Diceros bicornis minor: one gene and its partners. The protein of the gene in region 2 binds, or shares a complex with, the protein of the main gene of each other region. Links are inferred from orthologs where the notes say so. Each region holds a gene or a part of one and is shown on either strand. Other genes may lie near its edges.

Region 1 (10,189 bases), on a different chromosome or scaffold from region 2:
ATTCTTCCCAAGAATTACCTTGCTTGCCTAAAGAATTTGGCCACTTATTTATGAATGGGGAGGGACCTGCCACTGAAAATGGCATCTTTACTCTCTCTCTCACCAGGTAAAATTAAGTTTGCCCTTGTTAACACACACACACTAAGAATCAGCACATCTGACACCTTGAACTTGCATCTGTTTTTATGTCAAATGCTTGATTTCCCTAAATTAAAGGAGAGGTGAAAATATTAGCCTTACTCTGGAGTTCAGAGGGTGTCCATAAAATCTACAGCCAACCCCAAACATTATAATACTTGCTCTTCTTCCTCCACGATCCGTATTTGAGACATGAGCCTTTGCCAGAATGATGGATATTCAATGCAATTCGAGTTTGTAAAATTCCCTCAGTCATGGACATCTTTAGGTGCACCACTGTACAGAAACCACCAAATGATCTTTCTATTCTGCATTCACTACGTTTGCCAACAAAAACAAGGATGTGCATGTGGGCCAGTCAAAATGTGAGTCACACCAAGTTCTAGGGAGACACATAACCAAAGTTCAGTCACAAACTGACAACACACCCACCTGGGCCACTAAGAGTCCAAACCCACATTTCAGAAATAGAAGCTCTTTAACGAGTACAGACTGGTACACGTTTCACTCAGACCTACCTCCACCCCTAAAACTGCCTAAGAAGTGTGCAAACTTAAAACTCTGGCAAGGGCCCATTTTTTAATCTAAAATCCAGTTGTTGGGTGTTTTAGATCCTTCAAAGTGGAAAAAAATATTTAAGTAAAAGAAACCCTCACTACTTGGCTTTTTGAAACATTATCAACTAATGCCAACCTGGCATGAATAATTACTATATTTAAAATAAAGAGTGTAAAAGAAATACAAGAGTTTTTGTATTTTGTAGGGTGGGTTAGTTCAATTTAGCTTTTTTAAGCCACTAGCTCCATTTAATAAAGCATCAGTCTTTGTGGTGGTGATACATGTGACAAAAGCTGTAGGCTTTTTAACTGGGAAAAGGGTTCTGACATGCACTGCGATGACTTTGAGAAACAAATGACATAATACAGACTCAAGGAACTGCACAAGCCCAGAGCAGTTTTTGGATGGTGTCAATTTTGGGACAGTTTGACAACAGATTTAATTGTGAAATTATTAACCTTTAGTTGAAAGGAAATGCCGGCCAGAAGACAGACACTTTGTTCCCCTTATCCCCAAACAACACCCAGCGTCGCTAACCTTAACAGCTTTGAATTTCATACTTAAATTCATCTGTTCAACCATGGTTAAAACATAATCGTAATCACGGCTCCCTGAAAAATTTCACAATTGGCTGCTCAACTGTGATTTTTCTCCCCTTAATTTCAGAACTAATACGACTTTTTAGGGAAAACTCTGGGAATAAGAAATCACCATTGTGCAATATCTCTTGCCTATGTTTTCACCTTGAAGCAGTGTTTCTTTAATAAAGAATCAATACACAGACCCAAATGTGAATGGATATACATTCACTCATTCCCTCATCCATTCATTGTTTTGAAAACGTAATTCAAAACCAGGTCAGAAACATGTAATAATATCTTTGAAAAGACAGAATGATGAATGAGGTCTTCTTTCCATTAACAGTTTAAAAAACGTGCTATTTGGGATATAGGTACTTTTAAAAATGGGAGACGAAAAACTCAAAAAGGTAATTTTAATGTAACAAATTACCAACATACTCTAAATTAAGTACAAAAATACAAATATTTCATGAATATGAAAGACAGGTCTTAAAAACAAGTCAGCTAGTCAATAACTGAGGGGAAAAATGACCTTGTTCTGATTTATCTCATGTTGGTACAAAGAGTGACAAAGACTCCATAACCAGAACAGAGTTAATGAACTCTCACCGAACTTGTTTCCAAAAAATGTTTACGATGCCCTTGAAATTAGGCACTACTGATCTGGAACTATATTGTGCCTGGATCTCAAGTCAACATTTGTCCACAAAGGCCAGATTATCCTATTGTTTTAAAGCAGCTACTAGAACTATGAGAGCTACTGGTCAAAGAGAATTTAACCAAAACCTGATTCTACCTCTCTCAACAACACATAGGTCTTTCAAATTTTATCCTTTAAAAGTACCGTGTTTTACTACACCACATCTACCTCATAAACATGGACCAAGATGGAGAAATACTGGTTAAATCTAAGCATGTAAAATGACTGTTATTACTCAAACTGTGAATAAAATTTAAAGCTTCGGCATAATCAAGTCCCTAAGCCAGGGCTGGTTTTTTGGAAAGAAAGCATAAATCTGAATTTGGTACATCAGGGTAACATCATAAAGATGCTCCTTACTTGACTGGCTATGAGGGACTGCAGTCTGAACACCTCATCAGCCACAGGCTCCAGAGAGCCCACATCAGCCCACAGGAATTCCACATCATCTCCTTCTCCATCCTACTGAAAAAGTACCCTGGAAAATACAGTATGTTTTACGTACTTCCTATAGAATATAAATAGAAAAAACTTGTTCACCATTATTTCAGAGCCATTAGGCAATTTCTGTTTCCTAACCCAAAACACAAACCAAAATTAAAATGGTCTGGCCTTTCCAGTAGAGCACACCTTCCCTTTGCAAAGAGCCTGCTTTTATCCACCCTGTACTATTTCATTCTTTTAGGAACTAAGAACAATACAGACCCGGGTGTTTTATAAACAACAGCAAAACAAAACACTTCTTTCCAGCCCTGAAACCTGTCATCTGGCTAGAAAGATGGAGAATTCCATTTATAAAGTCCTGTAACTTCACACTTCCCGACTTGGGTTTCTTAGATGCAATGTTGTGCCTTCTTTCTTTCCTCATCTGGAAATGCCCTTTCATTCAGGCACCTGGGATGCAGCCTTGACTCACAATAGAGTCCACGTCTGCCCGTTTCCTCCTGATCTGGTAACAGAAGGATCCTCACTGCTGAGGAACAGAGGTGAAAGAAAAAGGAACTTGACTCAGGAATCTCACCCATACATTTTTTTTCTTCTCCAGAGCCTTAAGCACTGAAAAGTGAGGGTTCTGAATCAGTTGATGGAGTTAACTTTTTGCCCCTGAAAGTCAGTCACACCCAGTTAGTGACCTGGGCACAGAAAATCTCCCAGCAGGAGAAAGAAAGGGTTTGAAACAGAAAATAAAAAAATCAGAATTCTATACTTCCACTTCTGAAAATCTTCCTCCCAACAGGCAACTGCTTTCCCTAAATGCCAAACTGGAACGCTAAATCAAGTTCTCCTTCTACTGCTCTTTGCACTTTCTTACTGAAAGGAAGGATTTGTTTTGGCTCCACATGTTGAAAAATTCATGTTCCTATAATTAAGAGTTTGTGTGCCACACCTTCTGGCCACATTTCCCTGTTAAAACTCTCTTCTCTAAAAATGATCCCTGAAAACACAACTACCAGCCCTGATCCTTTTCTCAAGTGGCCACAGAAAACAGATCTGAAGATTCTCAGCAGCCTTCCCCAACCCTCCAGATCACTCAAGTGATCTGGCACTCAATTAAAACATAAGAGTGAAAAAGAGTTGGAGTTTTAGAAGTGTGCCCCCAAGAGACGGGTTCTCCCACAAGCTCATAATTAATACACCCCAAGTGAGTTTCTCACATCCTGACTGGACTATATAAAAGGATTTATGATGTTGATATATAAGACTGTATAAGAATAACCATAATACTCTTTCATTTAAATCAGTATGTAATAGGTCACAGGGGAACTAAAAAACACAAAACTTTTGTTGTCTCAAAGAGCATAATTTTTGAGTCGACATTTCATAACTTTTTGTGACATTTTTAAATAACCACACACACACACACCCGCACACAGACACAGACACACACTTCTCTGATTGGGGTTCTCAAGTATTACTGGGAGAGAGACTAGGGTGCGGGGGTCTAAGGACACAGACAAGACCTTACATGTCCAATCCTGGAGGTATTTTTCACATATAAACTAGTCGGGACCCCAGGAGTAAGCCCTACCCCGTGCACCACCAAAAGTGCCCTTTCCCACTGGGAAACAGGAGTGAGTTGGAAAAGGAAATCGACCCGGGGAAGAGGAGGAGCAGCTGCAACACCCAGCTGCAACCACACAACGGTGCCACTTCCCTCCGGTCTCCGAGTGGAGCCGAACGCCCTTACCTGGGGGGTGGAGAGCCGCTGGCACTAGTTCCAGAAGTTCTGGTTCACCTTCCGTCGGAGTTCAAAGCCCCAACACTGGAGCCCCGCAGCAGGCTCGCAAACCCCAATCCTTTGCCGTCCGGCCCCCGCCTTCCCCACCCTCTCGGCCCTACACCATGTCAGGAATCCGGGCAGGCTCCGAGCTGGGAGCTGACATCACTCCCAGTTCCAGGTACCTCCCCCTCCCACTGCCGCCTTCTCTCCTCCCTCCCTGCAGGAATTAGCCAAAGAGAGTCCGCAAGGGGGTGGGGTCGGCCGCGCCCGGGCTCCCGCTGATTGGGCCCGGGGACAGTCACTCAGAGGAGTCAACTCATTTTATACATTCCTCGCTGAGCCAGACTAGGGCTGGAAGTGGGTGCTGATGGAAAAAAAAATGCTGCCTTTCCTGCTATCTCTAAGGAAAAGGAGATAATGGGATGGGGGAAGAACCTTGCGGGTCCTGTTAACTTTTCTTGGCGTATTTACTATATCCCAGATCAGAAACGAAACTAACCCACCCGTGCCCCCTTTTTAAGGAAAAACAGTTGCCTCTGTGTCACGGACAAGTACGGTCTGCCGGCGCGTGGAGCGGAAAATGGCTAGCTTGAAGTCATGCAAATAAAGGAAAACGCCAGCTCGCTCTTCTACCCTTTTATCTGGAGACTGCTGAGTGTTCCCTTAGACGAGGAATTTACAACTTCAAAAGCACTTGGGAAGATTTGGAAAGGAATCTCAGAAACGGCGACTCAGCAATGAATTGTTAACTGGTGGCGTTATCAACCATGTGGCTGCTTTTGCGTTTAGCGATGAAAATCACTCCACCCGAGCTTTCAGGCAAATAAAATTGAACCTCCAAAGTAAGAAAAATTACTATTTACCTTACTCAGGACCTTAAGGCTGCTGTTTTCACGCACAACTGAAGGGGCGGCGGCGGGGGGGGGGGAGGATCTCACAATTGGGTTCAACGAGGCACATGAGAATAATTACTGTTGAATAGAAGCGGTTGCAGAGGCTGAGCTATCAATTAAGAATTAACTAACATTTAAGCTTGACGGATATCATGCTGTATAGTCCCCTTGGCTAGCAGAACAGAATGCTTCTCAGGAGATGGTCCTTTCAATATGCCCAATATCCGATTCAATGCAGAACTGAAAGGTGAAAAGTGGCTCTATTGACATGAGATATAAGTAACGCATTATCCATCATCTTCTGGAAGGACAATGAATTAATTATTGACTTTCTGTTGGTTTTTATCGTCTGGGTTTTTTTGTTTTTTTTGTTTTTGGTGAGGAAGATTGGCCGTGAGCTAACATCCTTTACCAATCTTCCTCTTTTTGCTGAGGAAGATTGGCTCTGAGCTAACATCTGTGCCCATCTTCAACTGCCCATCTTCCGCTATGTGGCATACGGGACACTGCCATAGCATGGCTTGATTAGTTGTGCCTAGGTCCATGCTGGCGTCTGAACCCGTGAACCACACGCCGCCAAAGCAGAGCGGGCGAACCCAACCACTACACCACCGGCCGTCCCCTTTATTGTCTGTTTTTTGATACATGACAACATGTCATGCATTTCACCATTCTGCTAAAAACTGTAAAAGGATGCATGGAGTCCAACATCGTGTCTCATTTAATCCTCACAACCATCCTGTAGAGCGAGTATCATTAGCCCCATTTAACATAAGGAATCAAAGGCTCAGCAAGATTATGGCAGTAAATTGCTTCAGAACACCCAGAACTGGGGTTGAAACTGAGGCCCATGTGACTCCAAAGCCATTTTTTTCTCTTTACTCTAAAGTGGTGATTGCTCACAATCTACACCCATTCAAACACTGTCATGCAAAAAAAATCCACAGACCCACTCTATATTAGTACCATGGTGCTGTTTTTCAGACCTACACAATTCCAAGCTCCTAACATATTTCTGATGCCATTTTTCCCCAGCTCTTGGTCCTTCTATGCACCACTACCAAGTGAGTTTTTAAAAACTATTTGGTTTTGCCATCAATATCTTCCCCTCCACATTGGGCCCCCTTTTCCCTATAATTCTTAGCCATTTAAAACTCTCCTAATCTGGCCTCTATTTACCTTTCCCACCTTATCTTCTATTTCACTCCTGGGAAATCCTCTGCTGCAGTCAAACTGGTCTACTCACAGATCCCCACTTGATTCTCACCTTCTGGCCTACGTGGAATCCCCATTCTTCTATGTGCTGTCACACCTTTCTCTCAAAGCCTAATTAAAGTTCTTGTCCTCACTGTGTGCTACAGTGGACAGAAAAAGGGCTTGAGGTCCATAGCTGGGTTCTGCCACTTACTTGCTGTGTAACTTTGGCCAAGTCACTAAAACAACCATCAGAAACCTCAATTACCTCTTCTGTAAAAAGGGGCTGATAATACTCACATCAAAGGTTAATTGAGACTGTATAGATGTGTAAACATATGATTGTATATGTCCAGTTGTATACATTTCCTATCTTCCCAAACCCTGAAGAGCAAGCTCCATACTTAATACCTCTTTGTATCCTTTATACCCAATTCAAGGAAAAAACTCAATAAAAATACAGGACTACAGAAAATTTATCATCATGTCACCTCTAACCCCCTCCATTCCTTAAAGGTACCCTACCTGCAAATAATCTTATAGCCAGAAACCATAATTATCTCTTTTTTTCTCTCTCCCTCTCTTTTTATGCTTTGGCCACAGTCCTTCCCTTTTCCCACTCTCCCACCATTCATGCAACAACCCTTAACCTCCTCAGATATTTTCTGCACCAGCCACTTAACCTGCCTCTTAGCCACTCATCATTCCCTCTCCCTCAGTCAGGGACACACTTGTCTGTTGTACCTGTTGCCTGCCTTGCTCCCTAAGTGCCTTCAGCCGTGGCTGGGTGGCTACCATCATTCTTCCAGCCCCAGTCACAGGGTGGCTGCATCCAGGCTCACAGCCTACAACCAGCAGCAGATGGGGGAGGGAATGTCCCACCGCCACAGAGATGGCAGGATAGAATAACAGGAAGTTGCCTCCCATCCCCTCTGCAGCTGGAGTGATAACAGCTGCCATCAGAGTCCAGAAAACAAAAGACTCAAAAGGAAAGCTGAAAACAGTCCAGGGCTGGGTCAGTAGGGTTCAAACCAGGGGTTCCAGAGTGGGTGAGGAAGGAACCAGTGAGGGAGACTTCAGTCTCCTCTCCACCCCAGCTTTCCCTCCACCTTAGTGTTACAGCTCCTCTCTGTTCTACATTTAGGCTCCACTATAATGCTTCATTTTAAAAAGAGAGTCTAACACTCAGATAAATATATTGAAACCACTGGCCTTGGTATCTTGGGGAAGCCCCAAAGGATCAGGACAATGCAGCAGAAGCGAAATAGGATACCTGCTGAGCAGATACCCAGAGTTTACCCACTACCCTGGATTCTAGCTGGCTTAATGGAAAAGTTTACACCTCCTGTGGTTTCAACACTTATTAGCTCTGTAGGTCTAGATAGCTATTTTCTGCCTATGAATTTTGCCAGATACTATCACTGCGGGGTGGGGGAGAGGAGGAGAACCTGTGAAAGCAGGAGAAAACCTGCAGAGAACAACAAAAGTAGAACTTGAAATGGACCCTAAAGGTCATGTGACACAAGCACCTGTTGGATGCAAGAACCCCTCCTACGGCCCTCCTGACAAGGAGCCTTCCAGCCCCTGTTTGAATTTATCTGGCAACAAGGAGCACACGAGCTAGGAGAGCAGCCCACCACTAAAGATCTTTCTCCTAGGGAGCCGGGTCCTGCTTTTCTGACTCTTGCCCCAAGACCTCTGTCTTGTGTCTCACTTAATTCTCACAACCATCCTCTAAGGTGAGCTTTATTAGCCCCATTTTAACATAGGAATCAAAGGCTCAGCAAGGTTACATAAGTAAACTGCTCCAGAACACCCAGAACTGGGATTGAAACCAAGGTCTCTTTGACTCCAAGCCATTTGTTCTTTATATATCTAAAGCTTTGATTGTCCACGGTCTATCCTTTTTCAGTTCTACCCTCTAAATAACAGGAAGCAGGTTGACTCTTTTTGTTACCCCATCCTCAAGCCTGTGCAGGCACAAGGACGCATCCCCTACTTACTCTGTTTAGATGCAGATGCCGGGAGAGGCCCACCTGACTCATCAAAGTGTGTCATTTGCCTGTCTGGTCTTTATAGGCTTCCAGCTACAGCTCTCTACAGCCCAGTCCTGATCACTCTTGACTCCTTTTGAAACACTTGAACATCTCCCCTTCACCAAGGAACAAAACCCAAACTCTCTTGACTGGCATCCAAAGGCCTTTACATCCAGCCGCCAACTTACCTTTCTGAACGTACTGTCCACTCTGCTTCATACTCCTCAGTGCACAAACTGAATGACTTTGCACCCATATTCTCTAAGAGTGTTTCCGTGGTTAAGGATGATTTTTGCCCATTACTAAAATTCACCTCACAGTGTTGTTGCAAGGATCAGATGAGATGTCATATGCAAGATGACAGAGCATGTTGCCTGACACATAATAAGTCATCAATAAACATATTTTCCTTTTTCTTATGACATAAAACAACTGTACTATTATTTTTATATATGGCTTATGTCCCTTACTGACAGTAAGTTCCTTACAGTCCTTGAAAGCAGGATGCTAATTTGTTTCATCTTTACATCCTTTATGGAATCTAGAACAATGCTTTGTCCTAGACATTCAGTAAAAATTCACTGAGTGAATGAATGAATGCTTTCTTTTGCTTAAAACTTCTAACCTGCTGTGGGCTAGGCCTTTAGAAGTTCAGGAACAACTCGACCAGAGTGATTTTAAAGAATCTGGATGCCTCAGATTTTTCTTATCGCAGACATGTTGCAAAACACAGAGTGTGTTGAACACATGGTATAAATCATGAACCCAAATTCAAATGAACCAAACTTAGCTTCAGAGTTCCTTCTAAAGGAAATTGCTGCTTATTCTGTCTGATTCTAAGCATGGCATTGGTGATAACCCAGACATCATTTTAATATCCTTTCGCTGGATACTAAGCCACTACTCAGCTATCACCACTGACATCATTTATGAATCCAACCCTCCTCCCCATCCCCTTCCTGCCAATGGACACGGGTTAGAAATAGGCCCAATATCTTGCTCCAAGCAGAGTCTTATTTTAATCACTCTTGCCTTGCAACCCAGATTGTGTGGGTTATTCTCTGGTTACCTGCCAGATAAATTAAAAAATCTAGTTACATTCAATTTACCCATTTTATTATTCTATTTATAAACTGAAAAACATTTTTAATTAAAAATAGAGACTATTGCTTTCCATGGTCTTTGATTAATGTTTAATTAATGGCTACATTAAACAAATTAAATTCCCTTAAACAATTAACCCCATTTACAAACAGAATTAATTGAATTTCCTAAAGAGTATGTCTGATTCCTGTACTCTGAGAGGCCAACAAGATAGATGAAGAGTCAGCCCTTCCAATACATAGCAGCAAATCCTATTCCATTCCTTTGCAAATGATCTGCATGGCATTCTTCCTAAGCAGGCTGCGGCCTTCCCCAGGCTTTTGGGCCTTTCCAGGGGTGATAAGTCGCTGCCATTCCTCCCTACCAACATGCATTGTGCACAGACCTCTTTAGAGGTCCTGGGAACATGTTCAATCAACAGCAGAGCATTACTCATAACCAGTGACTTCTACCTTGATTTTCACCTGCCACAATACTGAGTAAGGCTCATTTTTCAAATAAGATATCATGGCTCACTACTAATCAAAATTTACCCGTTTGACATTGTGATGCACCCCATTCTCTGGACCAGTACCACATAGGATTCCCAGGCCTCAGATTGATCCACTAATTTCTGCTGCAACCACCTTTTCACCTGGACAATCATTAATTTATTGTTGCTTTATTCAGTCTCTCCTAATCCTTAACTAGAATTCTTCTACTTACCTAGAATTTACATTTTAAAATGGCATGTTAGACTTCAACCTAGAAACTTCTAAGGGGAC
Region 2 (10,613 bases):
ACATGGATGGACCTTGAGGGTATTATGCTAAGCGAAATAAGTCAGAGGAAGAAAGTCAAATACAGTATGATCTCACTCATAAGTAGAAGATAAAAAACAACAAACAAACACATAGAGACAGAGACTGGATTGGTGGTTACCAGAGGGGAAGGAGGGAGGGAGGAAGGCAAAAGGGGTGATTAGGCACATGCATGTGGTGACGGATTGTAATTAGTCTTTGGGTGGTGAACATGATGTAGTCTACACAGAAATCCAACTATAATGATGTACACCTGAAATTTATATAATGTTATAAACCAATGTTACCGCAATAAAAAAAAATAGCCAAAGTAATCTTGCATAAGAACAAAGGTGGAGGACTTAAATTATCAGATGTCAAGACAGACTAAACCTACAGTAATTGAGACTGCGGTATTTGTGCAAAGACGACAAAAAGATCAATGGGGCAGAGGGGAGTCTAGATCCAGACCCATGTATTTATGGTCACTTGATTTATGACAGAGATGACACTGTAGTGCACTGGGGACAGGTTGGTCTTTTCAATAAATTATCCTGGGTCAACTGGATAGCCATAGATTTAAGGGACAAAAAAGGAACCTTGGCTCTTATCTCACACCATAAACAAATATCAGTTTCAGATGGATTACAGATCTAAATCTGAAAGAGAAAACAATAAAACTTTTACACGATAATACCTTCATGATAATATCTTTCAATGAACACAAAGCATTAAATATTACTGAAAAGACTGATCTTCGTAAACCTTAAAACTTCTGCTTATCAAAAGACACCGAGGGAGTGAAAAGGCAAACATACACAAGAATGTAAAAAAAATCTGCTATACGTACATGTACTCAGAATATATAATGTGTACTCAGAATATATAAGAAGAACTCCTTCAACTCAGAAACAAAAGAGAAAACCCAATCGAAAAACGGGCAAGACAATCATCTCACAAAGAAGATCTCTAAACGGCCAATAAACACGCACAGGGAAGCTCCGCCTCTGCACGTTCCTGGTCATCAGGAAGCAGCAAGTCCACACCACACCAAGCTGCCTTCCACTCAGTGGCCACCAGACAGCCAAATGAAAGGACTGACGAGACCAAGCGCTGGAGGACAACGGAGGGCTCCCTCACTGTTGGTGCTAGTACAAACTGTCACCACCGCCACTGTGGGCAGCGTCCACTCAGGCTGAACAAATGCACACTCTGTCACTCTGCAATGCCACTCCTGCGGACACCCCCAAGAGAAATGTACTAACTGCACCAAAAAAAGAAGCAAGAATACTCAGGGCAGCACTTGTAAAAACTAGAAGCAACCCGGATACCCATGAGCAGTAGAAAGAATAAATGATGGTATATTCATAGCCAGGATGATGAGATGAGAATGAAGAAAGCTACATGAGACAAAACGAATGGATCCCACAAAGATACTGCTGAATGAAAGAACCAAGAAACAAAACATACACATCACTTTATTTCATTTATATGGCCAAGAACAGGGGAAAGTAATCTATAGGGAAAAGTCAAGACCACGGTTAGCTTTGGGGGACAATTCTTGGGAGTAGGGAGGAGGGGGCTTCTGGGAAGCTTGGTAACATTTCATGTCATAATCTAGGCAGTGGTTACGAGTGTGTTCACTTAGCGACTCAATGAAATGTACACTCATGACTGTGAAATTTTCTGATGTGTTATAGCTAAGTTTTGTATAAGCACAGTATGACTGGTCTACATAATGGGCCAGGAGAACAAATGCAGTCAGTTCACCATATGCCTATCTGGTCACAATATCAGCCACCAAACCTGAGACAAATGCCAGGAAAGGGAAGGGTCCCACAAAGCGCTTACTTACTGGTTCCTGTGTTGCTGAAACGCTGGACGTGGTGCTCAGGTGAACTGCCGACATCATCACATTCTCCACTCAACGAGGCATCTCCAGCTACAACCCTGAGCAGTCGCTAGAAACAAATCACTGAGCAACTGTCTCCTCCCGCTGGTGGGACAGCCTCCACTGCTTGAGACCGTACACACCAAACTGGCCCTTCCCTGCTCTGTCCCTTGAGCTCATTCCCTCAAAAAACTACCTTATCAAATATGGAAGAATTGATATACACTTCAGTGTATGTACCTCAAATTACAGTAAAACAAACACAGTTACAAAAACAAACAAAACTACTGAAAAGATTTACGAATACATTAAAATCCTGGTAAAACATAATTTGGCCAATCCTTTTAAGCTTGTGGTAATAAAATCTGACCTAAACAAACTTGGTAATTTATAAGATTTGAACGAGAAAAAACGTAATGATTCTCTATCTCAACAAAAAAGGAACATTATAGCACTAATATCAAATTATTGTTGCCAAAAAGGAAATCCAAATGTTTGGCTTATCAATCTTTCAGGAGAACTGACTAAAGCCAAGAAACGCATTAAGGCTGGTAATTATTCATTTCCTAATTCACCACCGCAGACCCATCAGGAGAGTACAAGCAGACGCTCATTCAGGCCACCCGAAAGCACCATAAAGGCCCCCAGACAGCTCAGAGGCACCCCAAAACCCACGTATCTCCCACATGCCCTGTGCCGGTACCTTCCACTTCTCTAGGTGACACTTTCTCCCTTCACCCACCATTAAACCCTCACTCAGCTCCAGAAGAAAAGGCTTTGACACACTGGTCCAAATGCAACATACCCAGACTAGCAACCTCAGTGTGACTTTAAGCTTCGTAACTCACACCTGCCACGGAGACAGTTCCAAAGGAGTCAATCTCCAGCCTTCCAGCCCCTGAAACAAATCTCATTTAGAAAACACAGGTGTTCTAATAAAGGCAGACTGCAAAAATATTTTCTCTGTGAAATCAATCCTATTTGTCCATTAAATTTCATTATGTAATTGGAAATACAGGATAAACCCGTGGGAAATACACATTTCACAAGAAGTGGCTTAAGCCAATAGATCGGAAGGCACCACAGAGCTTGGTTGCCCCATGGCCCTATTTCAAAAACTTTGGAGCCCTCTCTTGAATCTAGGCAGTTCCTTCTGCTGCCCCGAAGGAAGGAACAAGAGTTATGAGGTATTTTCACATGACTTTAGAGCACCACAGAGTCTGTTCTCCCTAAGACGTTTAATCCTCCGGAACTTTATCTATACGTGGCTTACAAATATCAGAACCACCATTTCACAAATGGTTACGCAAAATACTCATCTAAGATAGTAATACCATAGAAGAGGACATCATACAACAACATTTAGTGGAAAAACATCTGTCAAGTTCCAGGTGAAAAGCATCCATACCTGTGGAAGTGCAGTATTGAGCTGTCTCTGCAAGGAGTCTCTTTCATGGCCAACCTCGTGTAATTTCCCCTGGGTTAATGCCAGCGTCTCTTGAGTCTCTCTCAGTGTGTCAAGAAGACGGTCCCTCTCTTCTAGCATGGACACCATCAACTGTTCAAAATGTGAGTCTGCGTCTGGCTGCGAAGGGGAGCTGGACCCATGGCTCCCACTTCCTCCTGGGGGGCCTTCTGCTTCACTGATGGTTGGCATCACCTCGCACATCATCTTGAAATAAAAGACCCAAACTACAGTCATTAAGTGCAAAGTAAAGTCTCCCACAAATCTGCAACTTTATAGCTATCTGCAGCTAATCCATGAACGGCTGTCAGCCTCACTCTTTTCAGATCTGACTGTTAAGCTCTGTATATAAGTGCGCTGGGAACAGAGACGCATGCAAACCCTGAGTCGGAACACTTGAGATCAAGACACCAACACAGACAACAATCCAGTCATGGGGTCAAGACCAAAGACGACTATGCCTCAGTTAAAGAACAAACCCTGTGGCATTTTGTTTGCACGGGTGTACTTTCTAGTTGTTGAAAAGAAGTGTGCTTCTGTAACCTATTCTTGTTTTTCTATTTCCTGGTGGGGGAGAGGAAGTCAAAACAGACGCTACCCAATCGTTTTTCAGGAAAAGCACAGAAAGAGCACACAGCCAGTCAAACTGACAAGTACAGAATCTGTCGGGCATCTTACAGGAATGTGTGCAGTCAGCTCCTGGGAAGGACTGACGGCTCCCGGAATTCTTGGGCTGGATTTGGTGAGCGCTAAAAGGAACTGGATTCGTCAAGGGCTGGGAGAGGTGTTTCTCAACGGCTGCAAGGGTTGGCCAGTCAACCTGACTTACGTAAGGTAACAGCCCCCAGAAAAAAAAAAAAAAATTCCACAATGGAAATACCGCAGGTCAATAACAGCCGTGGACGGCTGGGAAGGTAGGAAAAGTGAAAGGTGAGATTACGAGAGGCTATTAAGTGACTCAAACATAACGACGGAGCGAGGGGAAGCGGGGCCGGTCCAGAAGCTGCCGGCGGGGCTCGGGGCTCGGCGACCCCCGAGAGAGGATGCCCCAGACCGCACACCGGACAGTGACAACGACCTCGACCCCACTCGCATCCGAAGCAGGTGCTGCAGAGCCACGGACACCGGGGCTTCTTGCGGCCACAGGTCCTCGCCCCCTGCGCCCAGGGCTGGGTCACCGAGAGCTGGGGTCACCTAGCGCTGGGGTCAGGGCAGAGGGCGGCGCGAGGCCCCGAGAGCCCGTGGCTGGGGGCGCGTCCGCCGGGGGTCCCGCCGGGGGCGCCGCGGGCCTCGCCCCCGCCCCCGCGCCCGGAGCGCCCCGGCCCCCCGGGGCTGACAGGAATCGCCGCGCGGCCGCCGAGGGACGGGCCGGGCCCCGCTCCGCCCGCGCCGGCCTCAGTCTCCCGCTCCCTTACCTTGCTCGCCGGCGGGAGCGGGCGAGGAGGCTCCGCCGCGGCTCGCGGGCGGCTGCGCGCTCCGGGCGAGCTCGGGGCCCGACGAAGGCGGCCCGCGCCGGCGCCCGCCGCCCGCCCCGCGCCCGCGCCCGCGGCCCCCGGTCACTAAGGCCGGCCCGCGGCCGGACACTGGCGGAGCGCAGGAGGAGCGGGCCCGGCTGCGCGGCGCCGGCGTCAACGTGCCCGACGTCGGGCGCGTCGGCGCAGCGTCAGCACCGAGCGCCGCCGGCCCGCCCCGCCCCCCGCCCCGGGAGAGCGCCGCGGCGGCCGAGTGCGCAAGCGCCGCCTCCTAAGGTGGGGCGGGCTGCGATTGGCTGGGCGCGGTCGGAGCCCCGCCCCAAGGCCCCGCCCACATGGGGGCTCCTCGGCTGAGCCGCGGCTCCGGCCTCTGGTCCTCACGCCCCGCAGCATCTTCCACCTCGGGGGCTGCCCCCAGGTCTCTTCCTACAGCCACGGGGACTCCGAAGGCCGTTATCGAGCGTGCATCCAGACACTTCCCAAATGTCACGTCCACACGCCTTCCTGGAGAGCGCGCCCAGGTGCAGCTCACCTGCTCGCAGCCGGGGGGAGCCCGCGGCGTCGCCTCTCCTCGGAACCGACCCTCACAGGACTCGGAAGGACGCGGCTTCTACGCAAGGCCCATTGACCGAACTTCACCTGCTGTACTCGGGGAGGCAGAGATGGGCGTTTGATGTCGAAGCTCCTGGGCGCTGGGTCGAGAATGCAGGCTTTGGGGCCAGCACACCTGGTTCAACTCCCAGCAGATATTTATCCCTGCAGCGTGGGCCTGGGCAACCCAGGGGAACCCGTGTGGGATCAAGTGCCCCGTCTGTAGGATGGGAAGAGGAGACAGATCTACCCCAGGGCTGTTATAGGAATAGAACTTATAAAGAGAGACTCGTTGAGAACCTGGTTGGGGCGCTCTGCGAATGGTGGTCATTTTTATCCTTCTCAAACGTTGTTATCCTTCTTATTCATAGTTTATCCTTACTCAGACTTTTTAAAGCACCTGCTACCTGCTGTCTGCCAATTCCTGTGCTAGATCTTGTAGATACAGAGATTACGAAATCCACTTTTGGGCCGACCCGTGGCTTGGCGGTTGTGTGCGTGCGCTCCGCTGCTGGTGGCCCGGATTCGGATCCAGGGCGCGCACTGGCGCACCGCTTCTCGGGCCATGCTGGGGCCACGTCGCACATACAGCAACTGGAAGGATGTGCAACTATGACGTACAACTATCTACTGGGGCTTTGGGGAAATAAAAGGAGGAGGACTGGCAATAGATGTTAGCTCAGAGCCGGTCTTCCTCAGCAAAAAGAGGACGATTAGCATGGATGTTAGCTCAGGGCTGATCTTCCTCACACACACACACAAAAAATCCATTTTTAATAAATTAAAGAAGATGCTCTCTGCTCAGGATTTGACTTCTGGAGCACAAACTCCTCATACACCGAAAACGTGAGGGCATCGTTGTCAGGCGCCATGGCCACCGTCTGGCTGTCGGTGGTGAGGCAGCCAGGTGCCCGTGAACTCGCCAAGTCTAAGTAAAGCCTGCATGGAGGGGTGGGTGAATCCTTCCCAGGCAATTCCTTCATTCCCCATTGTCAGCTCACCAAGAACAAGTGCAACCTCTGATTGGCTTTCTTCCTTCCCAGGGTCCAGGACCACACCTTCCTTTCATTCATGTATTTGTTCATTCAATAAGTATTTGTTGATTGACTACAAATAAATATAAATTTGCACACCTGAGCCAGGGTCTGGAACAGAAGAAAATTTCCAGCTCTCCTTAAATGTACCAGCTTAATTCATCCAGCCCATATTTACACCACGCTGTCTTCTAAGAAATCGGCACAATACCAAAATTTAGTTCAACAGGGTAGAAGGTTCATTCATTTCGTGAACATTTTTAGAGCACTGTGAGCCAGGCATGGTCTAGGTTTGGGGAACACAGAGCTTTCTAAGACATCACTTCCCCTCAGTTCACAGCCTGGAAGGAAGAAGAGAAACAGTGTTACAATGTCTGTCTTATAAACAGGTGTGACTTGGTGCTGTGGGACCACAGAGGAAGGAGGAACCAACTCTCCAGCTGTCATCCTGGGGGCTTCACAGAGAGGATGACATCTGAGCTGGGTCTCGAAGATGAGCGATTTTCCAAGCATAGAAGGGAGAAGCTCATTTGGTGTAACTCCAGGAATATGAGAATCTCAGATTTCATTCATTTTCATTCCTTCATTTCGTTCCCTCAGATTGCAAAAATCAGCAAGAGGAAAACTGTAAACAACCTAAATGGCCAACAAAAAGAGATTGGTTACATTGTTGCACTTCCAAATGACAGAAAGCTCGGTGACACAGTCATATTTTATCTAATGACACACAAGATGCTCTATCCCGATTGTAGTGGTAGTTACAAGACCATATGTGTTTGTCAAAATCACAGAACTGTACACTAACATGTAAGGTATCCCCAATTTTTAAAAATGGGAAAAAAACTTAAAAAAAAATCAAGTTATAAACAAGTATGTACAGTGTGAGCCCAAATTCAAAAAAAAAAAAACAGTCTGTGTTTAGATGAAGAATCTATTGGGTAAAATTTATTATCTTGTATCTGAAAACTTCTAGAATGTTATTAAAGTGATAAAATTGTAATAAAATGAATTTTACGTGAAATATTTTCGAAAAGTGAAATTAAATTTTAAGTCTCAGGTTTGTCAAAGAAAAACGTATGTCTGTGTGAAAATATTGTTACTGTATTCAATTAGGTTTTTACATTTCTTTCTATATACATATACATATATATTCCTGGAAAGCGATACATCAGAATGTTGGCAGTGGTTGTCTTTGAGGGGGACTGTGGGTAGTTTTCGTTTCCTTCTTTGTGATAGTTTGTACTTGGCGGATATTTTGTCTTGAATGTGCATTATTTTTATCATTAGGGGGAGAAAAACCCCACAAATGTTACTCTAACAAAACCTAGGCAAGAACGAACCATGGAGAATTGCTTTCAGGAAGCTAAAATGACTTTTCGATGCAGTTATCTATACCATCCAACCTAAATTTTTCCCAGAAGTATTTATCTGAAACACATTTCAGAGATTGTCTAGCATCCTTGTAAGCCACAGTCAGGAAAACCATGAACATAGAAAATGTTTTCACTCCGATTCTTCTGTTAAGGTTTTGATAAAGAAAATAAGGTAAAACGGAAGGGGGCGGAGTGGAGAGTTCATTACTCTCTCCAGGGGTGTGTTTTTCCCAAATGTGCCGCCAGCCTGGGCTCTCTGGGTGAAGTGGTTAGTTGTCAACCTTGAGCATGACCGGGCCGCCTCTCCTTTCTAGAAATGTAAGCAGCCCAGGAAGAGGGTTCCTGCGAGAACAGAGTGTAGCCCATCCTGTCCTAGAGATCTGAGTGTGTCCCAAATCTAGAATATGTAAAGCCGCCTAATGAATGGTGGTGTGACAATACAGTCAGGGGAAGTTCTGAGCTGGGGGTGGGTGGTGGAAGATGTGGCCCTCCCTTTAAGAGGAGGAAACTGAAGCCCAGAGATGCGAAAATGCTTCGCCTCCTGGCGCCCAGCTCATTTGGGGCAGAGCTGGGACTGGAGCCTTGAGTGAACCAGGGGCTACTGATTCCAGATCTAGTTGCCACACTATTGCGACTGAGGAGTGGTCTCTTTAAGGGACAACTAAGAATAAGCATGTTATCAGTGGGTCTCCAGTGCTGCCCCAGTAGTCCGATCCCCTGCGGAAGAGATGGGGCCCTGGCTTCATTATCTTGGTGACTTTAGCCATAGAGTCTGTACTTGAGTTACCTTTGTGTCCCTGCTAAGATGGAGGAGGGAAAACGAGGAGAAAGGGAAAGAAATTTTACTTATTTGTCTCATTTAATTCTTAAAATACTTCCCCACGTGGCTGTTCCGGTATCCTTCGCATTTTGCAGATGAGGAAACTGAGGTCTGAGTGGCTGCTGAACAGGTGAGATCATCAGCCAGAGTGTTCCGGTTTCCATGACAGTTCAATTTCTCACGGTCAACAAATTATCTAAAGTTTTGGTCCAACGATGAGCCTGTCGGGAGTTTGGCTGGTGCATCTCAGTTCCCGAGAGCACGGACACCTCTGGGTGAAGTGATGATAAGAAAATCACATTTGGGGCCGGCCCCGTGGCTTAGCGGTTAAGTGTGCGCGCTCTGTGACGCACCGCTTCTCCGGCCATGCTGAGGCCGAGTCCCACATACAGCAACTAGAAAGATGTGCAACTACAACATACAACTATCTACTGGGGCTTTGGGGAGAAAAAAGAGGAGGATTGGCAATAGATGTTAGCTCAGAACCGGTCTTCCTCAGCAAAAAGAGGAGGATTAGCATGGATGTTAGCTCAGGGCTGGTCTTCCTCACCAAAAAAAAAAAAAAAAAAAAAAAAAAGAAAATCACATTTGCAGAGCATTTTACACATAACCTTACCCATATAACCTCACTCAATCCTCACAAGTGTAGCCTTCATCCTTTTATGGATGAGAACGCTGAGGCTCAGAGAAGTTGGATAACCTCTCCAATATCCCACAGTTTACAATTTGGTAGAAGCTGGCTCCAAAGCTGGTGTTCCTGATGCTACATCAAAGGTGTCCCCAGGCCCCCAAAGGTGGGGACAAAACCCCTTCACTCAATGCTGGGCCACCACGGCACTGACACCTAATGCCCACCAAGGGTCTATGGTGCCTTTCGGCCACCTTGTCTGAAAGGCACCGCATCGTCCCAGCGTCACCAGCTCTGAGAGCATTTCATGGCCTCCTGCAAGGGCGTGAAGACTTCTGTCCCCTTCGTCTGTATAATTGTATATTAAAAGCAAGTCATAAGCTCCTTGGGACTTGCTTCTCTTGACATCACTGTGTTCATCAGAGGGAGCCATCTAATAAAAACGCCCAGCTGTGGTGGGGAGCGGGGCCCGCACAGGTGGTTCAAATGCTCCAAGGGCTAGCCCGGAGCCCCAGCCACACCATTACGATGACCTTGGGCAAGATAGTAACCCAGACTAAGCCTCAGTCTTCTCATCTGTCAGATGGAGATCATAACACCCACACTAACTACCATGCTGGGACGGTGTGGGACTCATGGCTGGAAATGAGGGGTGACCACCCTGGCACCCCTGGCTGGCTCCCTGCCCGGTCACCATTTCCCTCTTTAAAAGGTGCTTTGGCACAGTAGTTATAAATGTAGACTCTGGATCCGGGTGGCCTGGTTCAAATCCTGGCTTTGCTTCTCTTTGCCGTAGCTATGTACTCTTAGGCAAGTTGCTTGCCTTCTCTGGGCCTCAGTTTCCTCGTTCCTAAATCGAGGGTGATAGTGCCGCTTCACAGGATGGCTGTGAGGGTTATGTGAGTGGAAAGGGCCGTATAAGAAATCACTATTAACACCAATGGAAGTCCTTTCCATCTGGGCCACGCCCATCCCCCCTGGAGAGGCTCGGGATTGGTCTGAGTCGGCTAGCATCTCATTCCCCTCTGCCCCTGATAGGCTAAGAGAGGGCCTGGACCCCTGTTCTCATCACTGCACATAAGAGACAGTGTGCGGGGTCTCCCTGATGAAAGACAGAGCAGTGTGGGGAGAAAGCCCCGTGGCCTCCACTGTTCTCTTCCTATTTGCTCCCTGCCCTTGAGGACGTGTGGCTGGGAGCCGCGACAGCCAACTTAAGGCCACAAGAGGAGAAACTGCCCAGCGTGTTTCCAGGCAGGAATTCCTTCCCACCATTTCTCAGGGAAGATTTTTTTTCCCAATCCCAAATTTCGAGAGAAATCAGTCAAGAAACTGAGAAAAAGA
Region 3 (10,164 bases), on a different chromosome or scaffold from region 2:
GCCAAGTGAGGAGATGAGAAAACAACTCTCAAATCTGCCTCCCCAAAAATGAGGACTAGGCATATTTATGGGAAAAGGGGCAGGGTGGTCTGAAATGTGGGAATGGATGATTGGAGATAAGGAGAAGCACAGTCAAGCTTCCTGGCTCTTCATAGGATGCATGTTCACAAAATGGTGGCATTAACAGGATCTGGGGGTGGAGTTTTTGCCTCCCTGATGTCAGGAGTTCACCTATCAGACACCTGCACAGGCGCAGTTGGTGGGTTGGTGATCTTGACTGGCCCAAACAGGACAAGGGTCAACTCTTAGTTCCTGAAAAACAACTCAGGCATCTGTTACCATGGTGACCAAGTGTCAGGGAGATGTTATCTATGAGGAACCTAGTGGGAGTTGGATAATATATTGCCTGTCTACTTGTCTTTTAAAAATAAGCAGCACAGCTAACAATGAACAGGTGAATAAATAAAGACTACAATTAATAATTGCCAAAAAAACTTTAGTTACTAGCTATCTAATCATTAATAACTGTCCACCAGTTTCAATAATACAAATAACAGTTTTTCCATTTTGATGAAGTCCAGTTTTTCTATTGTTTTCTTTTGTCACTTGTGCTTTCTTACATGAAACCATTGCCTAATCCAAGGTCACAAAGATTTACACCTATGTTTTCTCTGAGTACTATAGTTTTAGCATTTACATTTAGGCCTATGATCCATTTTGAATTAATTTTTGTATATGTGAATTAGGGGTCCAATTTCATTCTTTTTTTTTTTTTTTTTTTTTGTGAGGGAGATCAGCCCTGAGCTAACATCTGCCAATTCTCCTCTATTTTTATTATTTTTTTTTGCTGAAGAAGACTGGCCCTGGGCTAACATCCATGCCCATCTTCCTCCACTTTATATGGGACGCTGCCACAGCATGGCTTGCCAAGCGGTGTGTCAGTGCGTGCCCGGGATCCAAACTGGCAAACCCCCGGCCGCTGCAATGAAGCGTGAGCACTTAACCACTTGCACCACCGGGCCGGCCCCCCAATTTCATTCTTTTGCATGTGGATATACAATTGTCCCAGCAGCTTTATTGAAAAAACTATTTCCCATTGAATCAATTGCCCATAAATGTATGGGTTATTTCTGAACTCTCAATTCTTTTCCACTGAGATATATGTCTATCATTATTCCAGTACCACACTATGTTGATTCCTGTAGTTTTGTAGTCAGTTTTAAAATTGGGAAGAATGAGTGTTTCAACTTTGTTCTTTTTCAAGATTGTCTTGGCTATTCTGAGTCCCTTGCATTTTCTTTTTTTTTTTTTTTTTAATTTTATTTATTTATTTTTACCCCAAAGCCCCAGTAGATAGTTGTATGTCATAGCTGCACATCCTTCTAGTTGCTGTATGTGGGACACGGCCTCAGCATGGCCGGAGAAGCGGTGCGTTGGCGCGCGCCCGGGATCCGAACCCGGGCCGCCAATAGCAGAGCGCGCGCACTTAACCACTAAGCCAAGGGGCCAGCCCCTCCCTTGCATTTTCATGTGAATTTTAGGATCAGCTTGTCAATTTCCACACACAAAAAAAGGCAGCTGAGATTTTGATAGGATTGCATAGAGTCTATAGAACAAACAGGGGAGTACTGCCATTTTAATATTGTCTTTGCTACTATTTCTTGATGAACTACCTAGATAGATGATGATTTAGCTTCATTATAAACCCTGTACTTCGCTCATGTCTTCCTATCCTCTCAGTATAGCCTAATAATTCCTTGCTTCTCCATGGTTAGTTTTCCTACTTCTAACAATACATTTTAACAACCATTTCTGGTTCTGCCAACTATACACACAATCTCTTGAATGCTTCTACCTTTACCTCTACCTTTCCTCCCTACATTCCACATCTAAAACTGTCAGCTATACTTTTACCTTTATATTGTCAACATTGATATAATTTATAAACTATGCTTTAACTACAGCAAGATTATCTATAATTTATTAATAGGTCAAGTCTAAAAGTTGAACGCCAGAAAACAGCATTTTCTAAGCTTTCTATCATAGTAATTAATTATTCAGTTGAATTCTCTCTTTTTCAGATTTCTCTCCCAGAACTCCTATCCTTCCATTCCAATCTGGCCTTGCTCTTGGGACTTTTCCTCACTGTTTTCCTGAATTAGATCTAATGATTCCTGGATATGATGTTGTCAGATACCTGTTTTCTACCTCATTTTCCTCAAGCACATCTTCAAGTAACTCTTTCAAAAAAGGGTACATAGGAGTTTAACTTAATGAGTCCCTGCATATCTGAAAATATTTTCATTCTGCTCTTTCACTTAATGATAATTCAGCTAGGTATAGAGGGTTTTTTTGAAAATTAAAAATTTTTTCTTAGAATTTGAAGTTCAAAAAACATTTCTCAGAAACTTGAAGGTCTTTGCCTGTTATCTTCTCATATCTAGTGTTGCTGTTAAGAATTCTAATGCTAGCCTGATTCTTGTTCTTTTATAGGTCACTTTTTTTTTTCTCTTTGGAAATTTAGGACCTTCTCTTTATCTTTAGAGTTATAACATTTCACAAAGTTGTTTTTTCTTTGTTTTTGCTCTGCACTAGTGGATGCTTTCAGCTCTGGAAAATTTTCTTCCATTACTTTTAGGGTAATTTTCCATTATTTATTTACTTTATTTTCTCTTTCTTTTGTAATATTAGTCCTGTTGGATTAACTCTCTATTTCTTCTATATTTTCTCTTGCAATCTCCATCTCTTTGCATATTTCTTCTATTTTCTTTAAAATTTCATTGACTTTATGTTTCAACACTTCAAGTGAATTTATAATTTTAGCAATTTCTTATTTCTAATTTCAAGACCTACTTTTTATTTTTGGATTGCTAATTTATCTGAACATACTGTTCTTATTTCATAGATGTAATATAAGTCTGTAAGCATACTAATTAGTTCTTTTTTTCTTTTTCAGTGAGGACAATTAGCCCTGAGCTAACATCTACTGTCAATACTCCTCTTTTTGTTGAGGAAGATTGGCCCTGGGCTAACATCCGTGCCCATCTCCCTGTGGGATGCCTGCCATAGCATGGCTTGATAAGCAGTGCATGGGTCAGCAACCGGGATCTGAACCTGCAAACCCCGGCCCACCAAAGTGGAGCCCCCGAACCTAACCACTACACCACCCAGCTGGCCCTCAATTATTTCTTTTTAAGTTCTCTGAAGTTTCCCTTGTTTCCTCTGTGGTCACATTTTCTTTTTATCCTCCCCCTCCCCAACAAATTGGAGACTTCCCTTAAATATCTAATAATCCTTGGTGTCTGTTCATATTTAAGATGAGGTAGTTGGAATACTGATTAGGAATCTTGTGAACTTGGGAGGGTCTTTTGAACTTGCACAACTTCACTCTAGGGTAAGTGGATAGGAAACTGGCTATTGTGCCAGAATGAAGAATGCTTTACTCTGAGTCATTAAACGCGCAAATAGCTGCCCAAGTCCTCCCCAGAGATTATAGAACTCTTGACTTTTAGCTTGGGATAACTGCCTAGCTATTGTAGCTGAGATATACAGAGGGTTCTGCTGTTCTGTATAGAAACCTTTATTTAGTCTCCGTGTTTTCAGCCCTGCTTCTCACGCTTGCTCTCTCTTGTCTGTGTCTCCAAATTTCAGTCTCCCTAAATCATCTCTGGCAGAGAGGCCCCCTTCCTTGGCTGCAGCACCTCCTACACCTATTCCACACTATGGTTCCTTCCATTTTGTTTAGTCAGACTGCACTCACTTTCTGTGAGTAAAATTTAAAAATAAATTATCTTTTGGTGGCCCCCTTCCCATTTTCTATTTTGTATGAGTGTGCATCATTTTTTTTAATTATCATTTTATTTGGGGGTCTCAGGAAGAAAAGGCAATGAATGTATGTGCTCAGTTAGCCAGCTTTAATTAAAAAAATCCTAAATGTAGGTTAAAAAAAAAGATATCTGAGGCAGAGTAGGAAATAAGAAAAAACAACCAGTGGAATGGCAAAAAAAAGAAAAATTCTGAGTCTGTGATATTGACAGTATTCCTGTGTATATATAACTTAGTGCATAGCATCTCAAACTCTCCAGATCTACACATTTTAGGGCTATGATGGATCTCAGACATCTAGTTCACACCTCATTTTACAGTTAAGAAAAGTAGGACCGAGAAGCAAAGTGATTTCCCCAAGGCCGCATAAGTAGAGAGTGGCAGAATGAAAACTAGAAGGATATGACTTCCACTTTATTATTTTTTTTACCTCACCACTCTGCTGGGGAGTAACAGGACCGGCACATCAGCGGCCAGATGAGAAAGATCCTGAAAAACAGTCAAAGAGGGATGGCTTTTCCTGGGCCAATAGCTAGATGCCCAAGAAAATGAAATATTTCAGGTTGCTTATTTGGGAGCCATATAGTCAGTCTCCTTCTCTGGCAGCAGCCTAACAATTGGTAGCCATATGTTGAATGTGCTGAAGGGGGCGACTGTACAGCAGGACAGGGACCTGCAAGAATCCAAGTGTGTGGTGATCCTATGAGGGAACAACTAGAAAGCCTGGGCAGGATGAAACAGTAGAATTTGGTGAAGAATGAATGTGAATACTGAGGAGAAACGGGAAAATGTTAGTAGGATTATGAGGGAGCGTAAACTGGTTAACTGCGGTGGCGGAAAGTAGGGGTAAAATGATGACTCAATTCCTTTCAAGGGCATTTTAAATTATTTCAATGAACACTGGAGCGCTGGGAATAAATACAATTCACATCACTCTTCCTTTCTTGGTTTAGAGATAGCTTATCGACATCCTTAATGGATGCAGTTACCCTCTTTGCATGGTTCCGACAAAAGAAAACCCGACTGCGATTCAGCACAAGAGAACTGGCTTGCCTGAAACAAGGTACCAGTTGCCTGGTAGACTTGCCTAGCTGTGGTGAGGACTCAGTAAGACACTGTAGCACCGCATTTGGCACATCGCAGGTACTGAACCTGCACATTAATTTCCGCCCACGCTCTCCTCTCCTGCGACAATCACTACAGAAAAACGACGCACACTGGCGTGGTTCTTCCACGACGCCTGAATTCTTTCCTTAGGGCCGTGTGGACAGTCCCGAGTACCTCAGATCATATTACTAGCTTCCGCGGCCAAAGCTAAGGGTGGGGAAAAATCCAACTTCCCTGGACAAAGGGTGCCCACTGCGGCCGCGGGCGCGCAACCGGGAACGTACTGACAGCCTTAGAGCTAGCCCCGACGGCGCCGGCGGCCCCGGGGTTTGTCTAACGGCCCCGGGAGGGAGGGGGTGGGGCAGCTCTAAGGTCTGGGAAAGCGACGACTCCGCTCTTCGGGCCTGGCCCGTCCACTTCCTACGGCAAGCAGAAGGAGACAAGCGCCGCCTTGCCTCGCTCCCACCTACCGCCTCTTCCCGAGCCGGCTGCGGCTCTCCCCTCCCGCGGCCTCAGGGGCCGCGTGTGTGTGTGTGTGTGGGGGTGTGCGTGCGTCTGCCCCGTGCCCGTTACTCTGCTTCGGCGCGCGGCCACCGCCGGGACCCTGCGTCACCTCGCCGCCCTCCCCTAGGAGGCGCCGGATGCCAGCGGGCCGCCGAGCCGTACTCCCAGGAGGCTGCCAGAGACAGAGGCGGCCCGGCCCGGAGGAGGCGGAGCTCGCGGCGCCTCGCGGCCGGGCCTGGGGGCGGTGCTAGGTGTCTCGCGCAGGGGGCGGGGCGCGGTGACGTCTGCGGGCGCCGGGGCCGTACTGTGGCTGTGGTGGTGGGGGCGGCGGCGGCGGCGCCCGGGCGGTAGCAGCAGCCGCGCTGAGGAGGGTGAGACGGCTGCGGTGGCGGCAGCTCGGAAGTCGGGTGGGCCCTAGAGCTTCCCGCCTTCGCAGGCGCTGAGGCTTTTGCCTTTTCTTCGCCTGCCTCTCCCTCACGGCCCTGGGTAGGGCAGGGCAGCGCGCCCCCGGGCAGGGGCGGAGCTGTAGGTGAGGCTTCGGGACCCCCTCCCCCTCCGCTCCCTGCCGGGGGGATGGGGAAGTCCGGGAGGGGCGGGCCCCACCCCAGCCCACCGGGGGGCTCCACCCGGCCGGGCTCCGGGTTTGGACGGGAGCTGAGGCGATAGATGTGGGGAACCCGGGGCGGGAGGTGGGAGACGGGGGCTCTGGGCGCTCGGAGAACCGAGCGGGGAAGGTTTATGAGGCGTGATGTTGCGGGCGAGGTAGTGGCGAGATGGAGGAATTGGGGAGCCATGAGGAGGTTGGGGTGCGGTCAGGGTAGATCTGGGTTTAGGTGATTGATGTAAAATGTTGAAAGAGGTGAGAATTCTTTTTTTTTTTTCCCTCTGTGTAAATGGTAAGATAGGAGGTGAAGGGTTGTATTTCAAAAAGGTGAGCTGTGGATGTTGCCTTTGAGGCATTTGGAGAAGCGATTGCACTCGGTCTGACATTTCTACTTTAGGGTTTTGGTTATTTTTCTTTTTATCATCCTGGCGGGGGGTGGGTGGGTGAGTCCCGGGGGGAGGAGAATCTCTCTGCTTTTGGCTCGGAGTGGGTAAATTATGAGCGTGGATGGATTTGAAGTTTTAGACCCTTCAAGAAGAGTGATATCTTGGGTTGACAACTTCATTCTGGCAGCAACATAAAGGAATAGGTCCCATTACACTTAGTTCCTTAAAGGTGTTATCTTCCAGTCTTTTTTCTGTACCTGAAAGGTCTCTTTATACCATCTCTTTTACTAGCTTTATTCTGGTCCCTTACGAGAAGGCCTGAGAATCAAGTGGTTGCTTTGGAAGACACATTTCTGAGTAATAGTTGCAGGTGGTTGTGGTTGACTGCTTTGGATAGATAAATGAACAATTTGAACAGTTCTGTCGAAGCCAATTATATGAAAAATGCTTAAATGTTTTAAAGCACTGCTGTCTTTTACAGCTTGTTTTTCAATAGACCTGATGTTAGACATTTTAAGTCTTCAGCACTTAATTATTTGAGATTATTTTTATTTCTCAATTGCAGATGTCTTTATTAGACACTTTGAAAATGAAGTGGAATAATTTTTTTTTTCTGGTAGACCTCTCAATTTCTGAGAAGTGTTCTTGGAGTCAAGGGCTTTTAAAATGCTCTTTAATAACATTTTTGGGGGCATGTGTCTGTCACTTCATAGGGAGATGTTACTACAGTAAACAGCGTTCAGTGTTCTTCACATCAGTGTTTCACAACTTAGCACATCAAATCAGAATCTTCTTTTCTGGACTCCTGCTCCCTATTAGGTTATACTATCTAATAATCACTGACCTTACCTATCAGTGTCATTTGAGCTATTTCTTGCTCAGAAAACAGGTCATGTAATGAACATGTATTATGTAATGGATGGAAGTAGGCATGACTCTCAATAATTCATTTATGGAGGAAGAGAAACCGTCATGAAATGGAATTTAAGCAGTGACTTTCCCAAGGCTTACTCAATTTATTTGGGAACATAGCCAGAGAAGTGCTTTCCTGTCACCCAAGAGAGAAATATACAGATGTGAGTGTCAGTAGTTGCAGATCATTGCCTTTTTTAACATGCCTACTTAATGAGCAGACTATTATCTTCTAGCAAATACTTCTGCTTGAAGAGACTTATAGGAAGCAGATGATATAATAGCTATTAAGTGAGAAAGGGTGTGGTCCAATTTGTAATTATAAATAAAAGATTTAATTAACTGTATTCAGACAGATCAAATTATAAGTTGGTACAATGAATAGTTTTGATTTGGGATTACTTTGATGGAAAAATTAAAGTTCATATGTCTAGTTTTGACTTTTAAATTTTACTGTGATTTAATTGGGTACACGAGACAAATTCGAACTAAGATACTGGGTGAAACTTGGTGCGTATATTGCTAAAATGACATTTGCATGGCTGACTGTGGGATGTTATTCTTCTTGTAGGAATGAAATATATGATTTGAGGGAAAGTGTAAGGTAGAAGTGATCTATTTCTCTTTAGAATTTTTTATACCTAAAAAACCCGCTACTTTTTATCTTTCAAGAAATGTCACTTTTTAGTCGTTACTCTGATATCCTTGTTGAGTCTACTCAGGTGTTCCTTTTTTTAAATTACTAAATTAAGATAAATATGTCAGTCTGTTAATTCAACATTAATACTGAAAACAATTGAAGCTTTTAGCAACAACTGCTCCTCCTCTACGATATGTTTATGCTTTTAGAACTAGTATAAGAGCTGTTAAATGTGTGTTTTACACATAGTGTATCAAAAATATTGATGGAGAAAGACCAGGAATGAAGTATTTTGGTTAATCAAATAATAACCAGTACATTGATTATCAATTTTAAGAGAAATATAATGTAATAAAGTAAACTTAGCATAAAGGTTATGTGGAATATGATTTTTTTTCTATGGCTCTTCAACATCTGAGCCTTAGGGCATTGATTCATTCATTTATTCATTCAACAGTAATTTATTATGGTTCCAAGTACTTTTTTAGACATTGGGGATACAGTAGTGAACAAAGTTGACAAAAATCCCCACCTTCATGGAACTTACCTTCTAGATACCTCTGGGGAAGTAAAGAGGAACCCAGCAAAGGAGAATGATAAGAGGTCATTGAGTTAGCAGGAAAACCAGGGGCGTGTGATGTACGAGAAGTGAAGGAAAGGAAGTTTCAAGGAGGAGGGAATGATCAACTGTGTCATTGTTTAAAGATGTGTCAGAGTGTTGGGTAAGAGAGAATTCTGCTTGATTATAATGTCTAGTAACAGAGAAATGACTAAATGCTTTTCAGTGGGAGATGAGACAAATGTAAGAATCTTTCAGTTTTTTACTTCCCTGGAGTGATTTTTTAAAATATATTTCATTCTTTATTCTTTTCAGAACAAAATAGGCAGCCTGGGAATGTTTACTAGTATTAAGGAGAGATATGACTTGGTTGTTATTAATGTTATGTATACTTATTTTTTTAAAATCAGAAGATGTAAAAGAGTACACAGGGAAAAGTAAGTCTCTCCTGTCCCATCCAGTTATTCTTGAAGGCAGTCATTGTTTTCAATTTCTTGTTTTTCTTAACCAGTGAAATTTTTGCAATAATATGGTATTTAGCTATTTTAAAATGCCTAAATATAACAAGTATTTTATCTTCTAGGTATTTTTTTTGCATCTTTAATATTTGTTTTCATAATTTAATTCTAGCTACCTGTAGGTGTTTTGTTTTTGTTTTATAACAGCTTTATTGAGAGATAATTCACATACCATAAAATTCACCCATTTAAAGTGTACAATTCAGTTTTTTTGGTGCAACCATCGCCACAATCAATTTTAGAAAATTTTCATTGCCCCAAAAAGAGCCCCAAACCCATTAGCAGTTACTCCCCTGACCTTTGGTTTTTAAGTTTTGTTTTGCATATTGTGTGGGAAAAATGTTTGTGAAATACTTTTGTTACCAACTAAATGGCAATGAAGCCATTTAATGTGTACTATTAATATTCTCTCATTGAATTGAAGCATAAGTTTTTGTAAAAGTCAAATTAGATAATGTTTTATTTGGTTGAGTGAATAGTTGTGAAATGATTTAATTATCTAACCATCTTCTTTTTATTTTTCCTTCATTTATTAAGTAATTTTGAGTACCTTTTGTGTTCCAAGTTTTGGGCTAGGCCAGATGGAGTCCATGATAAATAAGGGACAGGGTCTCTTATTCTTAAGGAGTTTCATTCTAGTGGGAGAAGAGGAAAAGTTAACAGGAGTTTGTGGTCTGCGGTGATAAGTGCTTTAATAGGTAACATACAGCATTCTGCATCAGCTCATAGGATAGATCCCTAAACTGGATTGTGGGTAGATCTAAGATGAGATCTTAAGGATAAGCAGGATTTGGCCAAATGAAAAGGATGCAAGCAGAGGAAACAGCATGTGCAGAACCCAAAGGCAAGAAAGCTGTAGGGCAAATTGAGTGATCTGAAAATAGTTTGGTCTGGCTGGAATGTTGAGTGCTAGCATGAGGTGTTGGTCTCACTCCTCCTTTTTGTTAAAAAGTGTGCCTTAAAAAGGCAAAATAATTACATTATTAATGTGCTTACACTCTCTACAGATTGCTGTCACTTCCTAGCAGTATAACTTTGAGTAAGTTACTTTATTGTCTAAAACTCAGTTTATTCTCATTTTAAGGATGAGGAAGTTATAGTCCCACTTC

Evidence for each region.
Region 1: PPFIA1 (region 2) and PPFIBP1 share a complex: the UniProt entries of both Homo sapiens proteins name them as parts of the cortical microtubule stabilization complex. The link is inferred for Diceros bicornis minor from reciprocal best matches to the Homo sapiens genes PPFIA1 and PPFIBP1.
Region 3: PPFIA1 (region 2) and ERC1 share a complex: the UniProt entries of both Homo sapiens proteins name them as parts of the cortical microtubule stabilization complex. The link is inferred for Diceros bicornis minor from reciprocal best matches to the Homo sapiens genes PPFIA1 and ERC1.

The regions. Positions count from the first base shown.
Region 1 is NC_080756.1:35,553,118-35,563,306, forward strand, and holds the start of PPFIBP1 (liprin-beta-1), read right to left. Parts: upstream 4,381-10,189; 5' UTR 4,166-4,380; intron 1-4,165. UniProt on the Homo sapiens protein: May regulate the disassembly of focal adhesions. Did not bind receptor-like tyrosine phosphatases type 2A.
Region 2 is NC_080770.1:3,997,566-4,008,178, forward strand, and holds the start of PPFIA1 (liprin-alpha-1), read right to left. Parts: upstream 4,855-10,613; 5' UTR 4,770-4,854; intron 4,443-4,769; exon of another isoform or gene 4,033-4,442; intron 3,562-4,032; coding exon 3,298-3,561; intron 1-3,297. UniProt on the Homo sapiens protein: May regulate the disassembly of focal adhesions. May localize receptor-like tyrosine phosphatases type 2A at specific sites on the plasma membrane, possibly regulating their interaction with the extracellular environment and their association with substrates.
Region 3 is NC_080756.1:59,586,971-59,597,134, forward strand, and holds the start of ERC1 (ELKS/Rab6-interacting/CAST family member 1), read left to right. Parts: upstream 1-5,784; 5' UTR 5,785-5,807; intron 5,808-5,829; exon of another isoform or gene 5,830-5,965; intron 5,966-10,164. UniProt on the Homo sapiens protein: Regulatory subunit of the IKK complex. Probably recruits IkappaBalpha/NFKBIA to the complex. May be involved in the organization of the cytomatrix at the nerve terminals active zone (CAZ) which regulates neurotransmitter release.